Linked DNA regions of Oryctolagus cuniculus. The protein of the gene in region 2 purifies or fractionates together with the protein of the main gene of each other region. This does not show direct contact. Links are inferred from orthologs where the notes say so. Each region holds a gene or a part of one and is shown on either strand. Other genes may lie near its edges.

What was found.
Region 1: the proteins of PLCG1 (region 2) and ALK purify together in Homo sapiens (affinity purification with western blotting; 3 studies listed by BioGRID, with this or other methods). This does not show direct contact. The link is inferred for Oryctolagus cuniculus from reciprocal best matches to the Homo sapiens genes PLCG1 and ALK.
Region 3: the proteins of PLCG1 (region 2) and RASA1 purify together in Homo sapiens (affinity purification with western blotting; 3 studies listed by BioGRID and IntAct, with this or other methods). This does not show direct contact. The link is inferred for Oryctolagus cuniculus from reciprocal best matches to the Homo sapiens genes PLCG1 and RASA1.

What each region holds. Positions count from the first base shown.
Region 1 is NC_091433.1:173,776,464-173,780,107, reverse strand, and holds part of ALK (ALK tyrosine kinase receptor), read right to left. Parts: intron 2,324-3,644; coding exon 2,141-2,323; intron 924-2,140; coding exon 825-923; intron 335-824; coding exon 182-334; intron 1-181. UniProt on the Homo sapiens protein: Neuronal receptor tyrosine kinase that is essentially and transiently expressed in specific regions of the central and peripheral nervous systems and plays an important role in the genesis and differentiation of the nervous system.
Region 2 is NC_091442.1:17,799,443-17,803,669, reverse strand, and holds the start of PLCG1 (1-phosphatidylinositol 4,5-bisphosphate phosphodiesterase gamma-1), read left to right. Parts: upstream 1-1,380; 5' UTR 1,381-1,396; intron 1,397-2,143; exon of another isoform or gene 2,144-2,269; intron 2,270-2,313; exon of another isoform or gene 2,314-2,328; intron 2,329-2,741; 5' UTR 2,742-2,850; coding exon 2,851-3,067; intron 3,068-4,227. UniProt on the Homo sapiens protein: Mediates the production of the second messenger molecules diacylglycerol (DAG) and inositol 1,4,5-trisphosphate (IP3). Plays an important role in the regulation of intracellular signaling cascades.
Region 3 is NC_091445.1:10,286,952-10,290,595, reverse strand, and holds part of RASA1 (ras GTPase-activating protein 1), read right to left. Parts: intron 2,274-3,644; coding exon 2,206-2,273; intron 1,233-2,205; coding exon 1,144-1,232; intron 1-1,143. UniProt on the Homo sapiens protein: Inhibitory regulator of the Ras-cyclic AMP pathway. Stimulates the GTPase of normal but not oncogenic Ras p21; this stimulation may be further increased in the presence of NCK1.

The DNA.
Region 1 (3,644 bases), on a different chromosome or scaffold from region 2:
ATGACGTTTCCATGTCTTCAACACATTTCCTGTTCAGCCCCTCCTGCCCCCGTCCTCAGAACACCACGCTGCACAGGCCAGGCAGGGACAGGATGCTCACAAAACCGAGTCCTAGAACCAACTGGAGCAGTGTGCAAAGCTCAGCTCTGGGCCCTCCCCTCCCCTGGCCCCACCCTCTTACCAACACAGGAGACGCCGTCCTGGGCCAGCACCGTTCCGTGGTCACAGAAGCAGATGACCTTGTGGGTCTCCGGGTCCATGTGACATTCGTCTACCTCACAGTGACTGCAGTTTAGGTAATGTTTAATATTCACTTCCCCATGGCCCTCCATCACTGTGACAAGGAGGCAGGGTCAGTCTTGGCTGAACCTGGGGAGTGCACCTTGCACCCATGCCCAGCCCTGGGCTCTGTCTCTAGGGGTCTCGGGGGGGGGGGTGATTCTTTGGTTCCCAGTCCCAGTCCCACTGCCACTGGGAGCACCGCTCTGTCTGGGGCAGTCTTCCAGTGCATCTGGAGTGTGGCGCTTGGACAGAGGGCAGGTGGGTGTCCAGGGACACGAGCAGTTTTATGTGACATGGGAGAGTCCTCATGCGTGCCTCTGAGGTGGGCTGGGACAGGGACATGGGCTGTCCCCGCTGCATTTTCTGGGAGTGTCTAGGGGACAGTATTCTGCCTCCCTGTCTGCATTAAACCACACAATCTGACCCCCAGAAGCCCGGGGCAGGAAGTCTTGTCTGTGAGAGACCCCTTGTTGTCCTTTGTATCCTGGGCTCAGAGGGACCCTGGGGTGTCACCTTGCTGGGGGACCCACACAGAGGGGTACCTTTCAAAGCTGGGGTGTACAGGATGCCCAGTGGACTGATAAATGAAATCCCATCTTCCCCATCCATCTCAGGGTCATTGTTTGAGGCTGCGTTGCCGCCTGTGGCAAACCAGGGCAGAGTTTAACACAAAGGGGTGGGCGTCACAACCTCCACACACATGCGCAGAAGCGGGGCGTGCAGCTTTGCCCAGGCCAGGGGTCCCTGGGGGCTCAGGGGCAGGCGAGGTGGGAGGGAAGGGAGGCTCAGGGCACAGATGCTGCCTTGGGACGAGGGCTGGGAGCGGCTGGGAGAGGCTTGGAGAGGCATGGACCATGTTTCCCTCCAGGCTGTGGCCTGCTCCAACGGGGGTGGGAGGGTCTCCACCACTCTGCTGGAGTCCCCCTAGGAAGGAGTCAGTGTGACTAGCAGTCTGGAAAGTTCTCGAGTGCCCAGGTGGGGATGCACCCTCGGCACCCACTTCAGGCAGGGGCAGGAGAGAATAGCTAAGGGGCTGCTCTCCAGTCTCAGGGGGTCAGGGTTTGGCCGTGGGGCCATGAGCTCTGTGCCTGGAGGCTCCCGTCCCTCCATTCATCTGGGGTTGGGTGATCTTGGGACTCCCCCCCAGGGACTCCCTCCCGCCCTCCCTCTGGGGCTTGGAGAGGAACAGCATGTGGGTAAGACAGCATCAAAGCCAAACACAGACACGAACGTCACAGTGCGGGCATGCATTGTGTCCTAGTCTGGGGGGCGGGACTCGGCCTCCCAGCCTCTCAGCTCTGGAAGGCGCTAGGACACAGCTGGGCCAGTGGCCGGCTGCTTGCTGGGGGCTGGGCTGCGGCTGCCCGCAGTGGCCCTCAGAGTAGCTCCCTTTGGTGAGCAAGCGAGCTGCGCCTTCCTGGCAGCTGGTGGCTGGAGCGGGGGAGGGAGAAGGAGGGGTCTGGGCCACCGCAGCTGGTCCCTGAAGGAGCTGGCACGGCCCAGCCATCCAGAGGGAGGCCTGGGGATGGGCCATCCGGGCTCTGAGGTGCTCAGGCCAGCGAGTCCTTACAGGTGGCTCCGAGAAGCACCCGGGAAGCCAAAGCCCCTTGATGGTTGGCTTTGGGGGAGATCAAGGATCCTGAGGGATCTTGATGCTGACTCTAGGGCAGCCTGGAGGCAGGGTGCTCGCTTGGAAGCCAACACGCTGCCTCTGGCTGGGGGTGGCGTGCAGTGACATCATGGCCCACACCCACTGGGGCGGCCGGGGAGGGGGGGAAGGGCGGGAGCAGACAGGGAGGTGAGGTGCCTAGGACTAAGAGGGGGAGGGAGTGACACCTTGAACACGAATCATCTTTACCTATGTATCCTCCGCCTCCTCCACCGGAGGAGCACCCCCCTCCACCCCCTCCGAAACCCCCTCTTGTCTCCCACCCCCACTTCTTCATGGCCTGGGGGCAGGAATGTCCTCCGGTGGCTCCCTCCAGCAAAGACTTTCCAGCCCAGAGCAAGGAAGTGTTATCATTCCAGCCACCTCCGCCGCCTGCGGGGAGAGACCAGAGGACACCATGAGGTCGTGAGGTCATTGGTGGCTCGGCTCAGCCCGCCCTGGGGAAGGCAGTGGGACAGGCGCACTTTGAGGGGAGCCCCCACCCATGCCAGTGCCCAGGACTCTCTCCAGCGGGGGGGGGCCCAGGGGCTTTGGAGCCCGCATCTGGATAGCCAGGGGGTGTGCCATTGGCCCCAGGGAGGACAGCGTGCCTTGTGCCTCTGCTGCCTGTCTGCTCCCTGGCACAGAAGCAGGATGGGACAGGGGGCGGGGCAGCAGGACGCCGAGCCGGCTCCTCTGCTTCTCCTCGTGCCTGCCAGCCCCTGAAAGCACTGGGCCTCCATTCTCATTGTTTCCTCAAACCTCTTCCTGTCCCGGCAAGAACTGGAGCCGCCAATCTTGGGGCGGCCTCTGCACTCAAGCCCAGAGGGCATTACTGTCAGTGACTGGAAACCACGGGTGGAGCCTCAGCTTCTTCATCTGTCTCCTTGGGATAATGAAGACCCATCCTTGGGGTTGACGTTAGGGTCAAAGGAGACGGTGAGTGTGTGAAATCCTTACACCCAGCCACGTGTGAGGATCACGGGAGCTGGTCAGGCAGGACGCAGGCACGTGGAGGGCCTCACACTCGGCTTGTGCTGCTCTGGGCTGCTCAGAGGTCAGGAGTGGAGGAGAGGCAGGGGTGGGGGACATCGGGGCAACCATGGCAGCCACTGGGGAGGGGCTTCCCCACGTGTGAGGTGCTCTGAACTCTTGCAGAGCAGATGTCTGCCGAGCTGAGGTTGGATGTGGCCATGGGAGGACCCCAGGGATTCTCCCCCTGCCGCTCTGCCCCCGCTGGCCCTTGAGAATCCAGGATTATCCACCACTCCAACATTGTTCCCTATGACCTTGCAACAAGCATCCACCCCCAACACCCTCCTGGGAGGCCTTCCTGCTTCAGCAGATGACAGTGGTGGGGGGCCCTGGAGGCCGACGCAGAAGGAACCGAAACAGTAGTGTGCGGGACGGCTGGACCTGAGTTAACTGGGTCCGGGAAGAATCTTCAGCTGCTGAGTTTCCCCCAACCCAGAGGGGGTTAGCAGAGGGACACGGAGGTGGTGGGAGCTCTGGTGGAGGTGGCTACTCTGCTAGGGTTCAAATCCAAGCTGAGATCAGGATCAAGCTCGGTCGTACGACAGGGACAGGCGGAGCTGGGCCTGCAGGCAGGTGGAGGGACTCGGTCAACTCAGGGCTGGGTGACAGATGTGGGTTCCACAGGGCGGGGTCTGTGAAGGCTGTTGATGTCACTGCAGGAGGACACCTCTCTGTTCTG
Region 2 (4,227 bases):
TGCCTGGAAAGTACCTTCCTCCAATCAACTTTTAACAGCTCACCCAGCCACCTACTCCTTCCCATCTGACCTCTGCGGAGCCACAGGGAGGCCTCCTCACTGTGTTTTCTTTTCTTCTTCTTCTTTTTTTTTAAACAGGCAGAGTTAGTAAGAGAGAGAGAGACAGAGAGAAAGGTCTTCCTTCTGTTGGTTCACCCCCCCAAATGGCTGCTATGGCTGGCATGCTGCGCCGATTCAGGAGCCAGGTGCTTCCTCCTGGTCTCCCATGCGGGTGCAGAGCCCAAGCACCTGGGCCACCCTCCACTGCCTTCCCGGGACACAGCAGAGAGCTGGACTGGAAGAGGAGCAACCGGGACAGAATCTGGCGCCCCGACCGGGACTAGAACCCGGTGTGCCAGCGCCGCAGGCGGAGGATTAGCCTAGTGAGCTGCCGCACTGGCAACCTCACTGTGTTTTCTTTCATCTGTTCTTTTCCTCTGGAGCCCTCATCACAAGTGTCTTTACAGAACAGAGTGCTTATTTGTTTAAGGTCTGTTAATCCCCCGAGGGGCTGGGCTGGATCTCCTGTTCTCCTCACGCTTCGCAGCTCAGCGACAGCGGCACTTTGAGTACAAGCCACGCTCTGACCACTAATGTTCTGCCAGGTTCCCTGTGCCAGTAGCCATCTAGCCTCATGCCCACTGACTGCTCACCACCAGGACTTACCTAAGCCAGAGGCCCTCTTGTGAGGCAGAAAACAGAGGTGGATAGGTTCAAGTCCCCAGTTGTGAGTGACGTGGCCGCTCGGTAAGTCATGTAGAACTTCTCTGAACGTCCTCATCAGTAAACTGGGGACCAGTGTCCCTGATTAGAGGGTGATTATGAGGACCACGTGTGATCAGGATCAGCCTGCCTCCCACTTCAAAGGCTTGTCACTAGGTGGCAGTCCATCTCAGCTCCCCCGCTGGCCCTTAGTTGACAGGAGCCTAGTGCTGTGAGCCTTAGGGGCCACACTTGAAGGAACCAAAAGTGCAGGAGCATGCACACACACGCAAGTTACTACCACCGCGAGATAGTCAGAGGCAGCTCCACACACCTAGTACTGGGTGCGGTTGCCTGAACACATGCTCTCCTGTCCTCACAAATCCCAACTCACCTGGATCTTTCTCCGGAAAGCTCTGCTGGGCCGCGCCTCTCTGAAATGCAGCACCTGGCGCAACACGTGTCAGGCATGCCTCCCCATGACCGCAGATGTCCTCAGTTTTCACAGCATTCAGGAAGACGAAGAGGGTGAATGATTCCAGACAGAAGCCTGCTGACGGGAGGAGAGAGAGTGAAGAAGCCAGGAGATAGGAAGGGGCCAGGCCCATCAGAACCTGCTGTGTGCCACTCAGGGCGGGAGAATAGTAGACCAGAGGTAGGTGATCATGGTTTTATTTCTTTTAAAAGATTTAAACATGGAGAACAGACGCAGGTGAGAGAGGCCACGGCCTGGTGGGCTTGCAGGCAAAGTGAACAGGCCTCGGTGGATCTGACCTGGGGCAGACAGAGGAATCGAGGTTACTGGCCAGGTTTTTGGCTTATGCAATCGAGAGGAGTTTGGTGCCATGTTCTGAGAAAGCGAAGGCTGGGGAGCCGTGTGGGAGTGTGGGTGAGGCAGCCGCATTAGGTAGCAACGTGGTGCGGACAGTGGGACGTGGAGGTGGAGGCACTGGTACCGGCGCACTGCGTGAAGTCAGGTCGCTATGGGTACTGGCCCAGGACAGAGTCCAGAGCGAGGTCAGGAAAACCAAAGTTCAGGAGCGCACCTGCAGGAGGGGTGTGAGGCAGGGCCTGAGCCCGCCTCACGGATCCGACCTGCGTCCTGCCTCGTGGGGAACGAGGGCGAGGAGCAACGGGCAACGCCAAGAGAGGGAGAGAGACAGGGCCGCTGGGGGCTACAGGTCAGGTCTCCAGACAGCGCGGGCGCGGGTTTAACGAGCCCTGCGGGGGATGCTCACGCCCGAAGCGCTTCTCCGAGGAAGGGCACCTACGCAAGGGCAGGACGGACGTGGGGTTCGCCTTCGCAAGGGCGGCCTGTGGGCCAGCTCTGCGCGGGCAGGGGGAGGGGGCGGGACAGAACGCTGTCCATCAGAGCCCGCTGACCAATCCTCGGGATGCCCCGCCCCCACTCCTCCCCGAAGAGGGCGCGCGGAGAACCCGCCTCCGCCGCCGCCGCCGCCGCCGCCGCCGCCGCGGGTGTGAGGCGGCCCGGCCTGGCCCGGTTCCCTCCGCCGGGCAATTCGCCCAGGTAATTGGGTTTGGCCAGGCGGACCCGAGGGGCGCGTCGCACCCTCACATCTTCTCCAGGTGGCTGTGCGGGCGGCGCGGAGGCTGCGGTCGGGCCTGTGCGGGACAGTGGGCGGGTGGCTTCGCGTGCACGAGCGCCTGACTGACGGGCCGGTCGGTCGCGGGCCTGCAGCCTGTGGGCGGGGCTGCCGTGCGTGACGGGGCCGGTGGAGGCCCCGCGCCCTGCCGGGGTCGCGTGAGGAAGCTCTGCGGGGCCGAGCGACGGACGGATTGCTTGAGAGCGGGGCGTACCATGGCGCCCCGCGCCCCCGCTTGCGGCCTGGCCGGGGGTCGCGGGGCGCAGGCGCGGTGGGCCGGGGGCGGGGGTCCTCCCCACGGGCGCGCGGGCGCCTTTGTTCCTGGCGCGCGGGCGGGGCGGATCCTCGGGCCGCCCCGCCTTCGGTGTTTAGGCTCCGCCCCGTGTCCGCCCGCAGGAGCCGCCGCCGGGTCCCGGTCGCCGGCCGCCTCAGCTGCCGCCTCCTCCTCCTCCTGCTCCCGGCTCCTCCGGCTTGTGCCGCCGCCGCCGCCCCCAGCGTCGGAGCCATGGCGGGCGCCGCGTCCCCTTGCGCCAATGGCTGCGCTCCCGGCGCGCCCTCGGAAGCCGAGGTGCTGCACCTCTGCCGCAGCCTCGAGGTGGGCACCGTCATGACTTTGTTCTACTCCAAGAAGTCGCAGCGGCCCGAGCGGAAGACCTTCCAGGTCAAACTGGAGACGCGCCAGATCACGTGGAGCCGCGGCGCCGACAAGATCGAGGGGGCCAGTAAGTGCCGCCCCCGGGCCCGCTGCGCGCGCGGGGCTGGCGAGGCGCGCGCGGCCGCGGCCCTCCCTGGCGACTTGGGCAAACTTTGGGCTCTCCCCACCCCCACTGGACCCGCCCCCGCCTCGGCTCCGGTGCTCACTGGGGGGCGGGGATCATCCAAATCCTCGGTCACCTGATAGGACGCCCCCTCCCCCGGCTGGGGGGACTCCTCCAGACGTCTTTCCCTGAGGCCTAAAAAATCCTGGCGGACTGGAGTCCAGCGGGGCAGGCGTCGAGCCCCTCCAGTCCCGGGAAGGAGCGGCGGTGGCGGGCGAGGGGAGCCAAGCTGCGCCCACCCTGCCCGCGATCGGGGCCCGAGGGTCACTGCCCTCCCCCTCTGCAGAAAGAGCGGTGCGAGATTCCCTGGGTCCCAAGGCTGGGCTCTTCATTGCAAGGGAACCTTTGGGTTCCCTGGGTAAAAATTAGGCAGATGTTGAGGTAGGGCTGGTTTTGAAACAGGGCTAGGCCTGCTCATCTGCTTGGGGAGGGAGAAGAAGGTGGTCCTTTCTGTCTTGGCGAAGCCTGAGAAAGGCCGCTTTTACTTGCTGCTGCTTTTGTCCCAAAGCTGAGTTTTTGGAGGCCTATGCCGGTGCCCAAAGCCGGGGCAGGCTCTTGGGTAAAGGGGCTGTGCCCTTGCACTTGGAAGCACCCACCTGAAGCTTGGCCCCAGACAGGCCAGTCCAAGTGCCTTGGCGTCAGGTACTCCTGTCTCAGAGCGGGTAGCCTGTTTGGGGTCTAGCCCTTTGTGTCCTGTGTCCGGTGGCCACAGGGAGCCGACAGTGGCTCCCCCCTTGGTTTCCTGCCTCTGTGCCTTGCCAGGCCTGAGCTTGGCTGCTTTTGCGCAGGTCTCTAGTGGGAGGAGGGGGTTAGGGGATTTTGAAAAAACCCCAGATCTTTCAGTGTGTTACTGCACTCACTGCATGCCTGAGCTGTGGCCGGATGGGCACTCAGCTCTGCCCTCCTTTCTCTCTCGCCTTCCTGTGTGAACAGATGATGTTTCTGTAACCCCAGGCTGTGGGTTGTTTCCTCCAAGGACCCCCCAGAGATGGGTACTAGAACCAGGGGCATGTGGAGAAAGGGGTCAGGAAGCGACAGCCCTGGAGAGGCTCCCACCGAGGTTC
Region 3 (3,644 bases), on a different chromosome or scaffold from region 2:
ACATACATTCATTCAAAAATAATGGAAAAGCTATTACTTGCCCAGCACCAAAACAAACGGGCCCAAGCCACAGGTTAGAATACAGCAAAGGTTATAAGGAATGAAAATATAGTGTGATAAAACCTCAAAATGAAAACACATTATTCATAACCTGCCACAAGATTCAGATAAATTCTAAAGCCAAATCATACTAGTAAGCTGCTCATTATACTCAAAATCCTAAGCCTACTGAAAGAAATGCGCTATAAAATAGGAATACTAATGCAACTCTTAAAAGTCCATGACATAAGGGCCTCAATAGGCAATTCCAAAAATAAGAAAGAATACCCACTGAGTTTTGATAAGGCTGTAGGGAGCAAATACATTGCAAAAGCTTAAATTTTGCTCCAAACCTACGAAATATGGTAAGGGGTGACAGTATGATCTCAACCATACAAGCAACAATTGTTCAATCTGAAATGTGATCACATGTGGGTATTTTAGAACCCCTTTCACACAGGCTGAGGAGATGGAACCATATAGTGCATGGTGATACCTGTATCTTTTAAGGTCAATGAACTGATTTGCAAGTGTGGGTGTGGCAAAATCAGCAAGAAGTGGACTGCCTTCACAGGTGATACTCGGCATCTTCATGGAGGATTTGATCAGGAGATACACTGTTGGAAAGAACTTTCAGGAAGCAACTGGCTTCCTGTAGCCCTTCAGGTTATCTTCCTCATAAGGTGGGGTGAAGACAAAGACCCCACCCATTTAGCAGAAGGTGGAGATGATTTGGTCTGCTCTGTTGCCAGTACTAGGCTTGCTAGAAGGATGAACTAAGGTGTCTACCGCATTATGCTTGATAATGTGATCACTTAGTAACAGTGACTGCTCCCGAATACATTTTTCTTTTAATGTTTACAGTGAAATAAAGTTACATTTTAAATCTTGCTCATTGGTCTTTATATTTAAAAGGGAGAATATAATCTTCTCTGTTGGCTAAAAATGAAAGCTTTTAAGTTCATTTGTTAAAAATAGAAAGTCCAAATATTAAAACATAGCAAGTGAAACAGAATCTTTATAAGGTATACACTGTTTTGTAAAATTATTTAAGCTATATTTCTGTATCACAGTTTGATTCATAAAGTATCAAGATGTTTTTACCTTAGCTCCAAATTCCACAAGATTTGCTAAATTCTGCACAGACTTGGCCACTAATATCAGTGTTCTTGCAGCAATAGGAGATGGTGAATCTGTAGGAGAATTGGCCACAGCTACTGACACAGACTGCAAAGGCACTTGCAAATAAACCATTATGTATTTACCGGTTACTGCTGTTAGTAATTCAGTAACTCTTAAGTTTTTGAGAAAAAGCAGAGCTACACATGAAAACCTCAATATATTTATTAGTACTTTAGCTTTATGAAAAGGGTCCTCTAAAAACTAGGTGGTGGTATCAAAGCTTAAGAACAAAGAGATTTTTGACACCTTTATGTGGAGGAGAAAAACATGCAATTTAATAAACATTTACATAATGTAGATAGGATAGAAATGCAAAGTATTGTGGCTATTAAATACAGACTCTGAAGTTTAGAAATGACCTGGCTGCCTGATTTTGGATTATACTGTCTTAAGGCACTAAACTAAATACTATGGAATAGTGGTTCAGAGTCCAACATTCAGGTACATCTCTCCAAATGATCTTTAATTCTTAGCTGATGAAATGCTTGAGCCCGTTAAGTAGCAATAAAAGATATTAATGGTAACTCATCATTGTATTCAATGTCACAAACATACCACATCACGTTTACTGGAGTTTAAAATGGCCAATGAACATCACATTGTCTATAGATACACACACAACACTCCTGCACCTGTACATGGAATTTTATTTTGATCTTCAAGTAGCTCCAGCTTGAGTAGTTTTGCATGGGCTAATTACAGAGAGTTTGCCACCTTGAAAAGCCAAGTTACAAACTCTTAAAATATCATCCTAAGATTTTTGGATACAAAGAGGTAGATAAAAAATGGAATGCATTGAATCTTGCCAGGTCAGGTTTCAGACTACACAAAAGCTAATAATGAAGGAGGAAGAAAAGGGAAGAGTACTTTAGAATGTTTTAAACCAAGTCTTAGAATTTGATCATTTGCAATACATTTAAAAAGTGATTATTCATCTTAAATAACATGAAATTGCTTCTTTTAATCAAAACTTGTAAAGATTACCTGAGATGATATTAAACATCCGAGGATTCAGAATCGCAGGACAGATAAGCCGCAGGAATACAAAACCACTGAATACCAGGTAAAAAAAAAAAGTTTTAGAGAACTACAGATATTATATGAAAAGGGAATTTAATACTCAGTTATTTTAGGCTACTATTACATTCTATACTTAGGGAAGCGGCATCCTTAGGAATCAAACATTTCTGGAATACTACAGGAGTACCTTTTATAGGCATGTAACTTGAGTAACATTCCAAAAATCAACCTTTGATTTACTACATCTGAAGTATTATTCCACCATACTTAATAAAATTCCTTCTAGAGTCTAACATAATTGTTAGTCTTTCTTCTCTGATTCGATAGCCCAAATTCTCTGCATTTGCTAATAAAAAGTTAGTTAGCCAAGTGGCACATATTTTAATATCATAAAAACCTGAGTATGTTACTTTTCAAACAGCATTTATATTCATGGCAATCACATAATTCTTTAAGCATTTTGATACTTAAGTATGTTATTCTGCAAACCTCTTAACTGTGCTGAAACACTATGCTTATAATTGTTTTCTGTTCCCCCCATCATCATGAAAGCCAAGAAAAACCAAATCTACACTTCTTAAATATTTATATCATAATTAACCAGGAGATTTTTACCTGCTAGGATTAGAAGCCCCTTGACAGAATATAGGTTGGAGGCAAGATTAACACACATTTTCAAAACTCATGGTACATACTGGCATCTTTAGTGGTTTCCTCTAGGTTTTCTCAGATAACATGACTGGCAGTATATATTCCATATAATAAATCATTAGAAAACAGTTACATTCTCTGAGACTTTTGCACTATGCTTCCAGTTATCTTCAACTGGTTAGGGTATGCTTAACAAAAGCCTGCAACAATGTTATGGATATTGGATTGAGTTTCAGAAGGTCTCCTTTAGCTCTGCTTCCGCCACTGACTTTCCCTATACATAATCTTAGACAAATTATTTACCCTCTCCAGGTCTGCTTCCTTATTGGAAGAGTAAGAAAAAGAATAATAATCAAGTCTTTTTATAAATTCCATGAGTTGCCAAAGCAGTTCGTAATAATTGCACAGTGAACATACTGAAGCACAGTTTCAGAACTAGAGGCTCTGACGGGAGACTAACCAGTTACAGGTCGTGTTTCAAGCAAATTAATGTCTAAGTGACTCAGTGTTCTTCCTTTTTACTATGAAATCAGTCACGCATACTGCGTATACAGAGGGTACTACATGAAGTAAGCTACAGATTTTGTATTTAGCTTTTAACCTCATTCAGTAAGACTTAACTGACAAGCATTCAGGTCTGTATAAAATGTAAAAGTAGCTAAATGTCTCCTAATAACTTTGAAAAAGGCAGCTGAGTATTTCTGAGTTAGATGGCCCCTCAACAGGACTTTGACATTAAAAAAAAAAGAAAG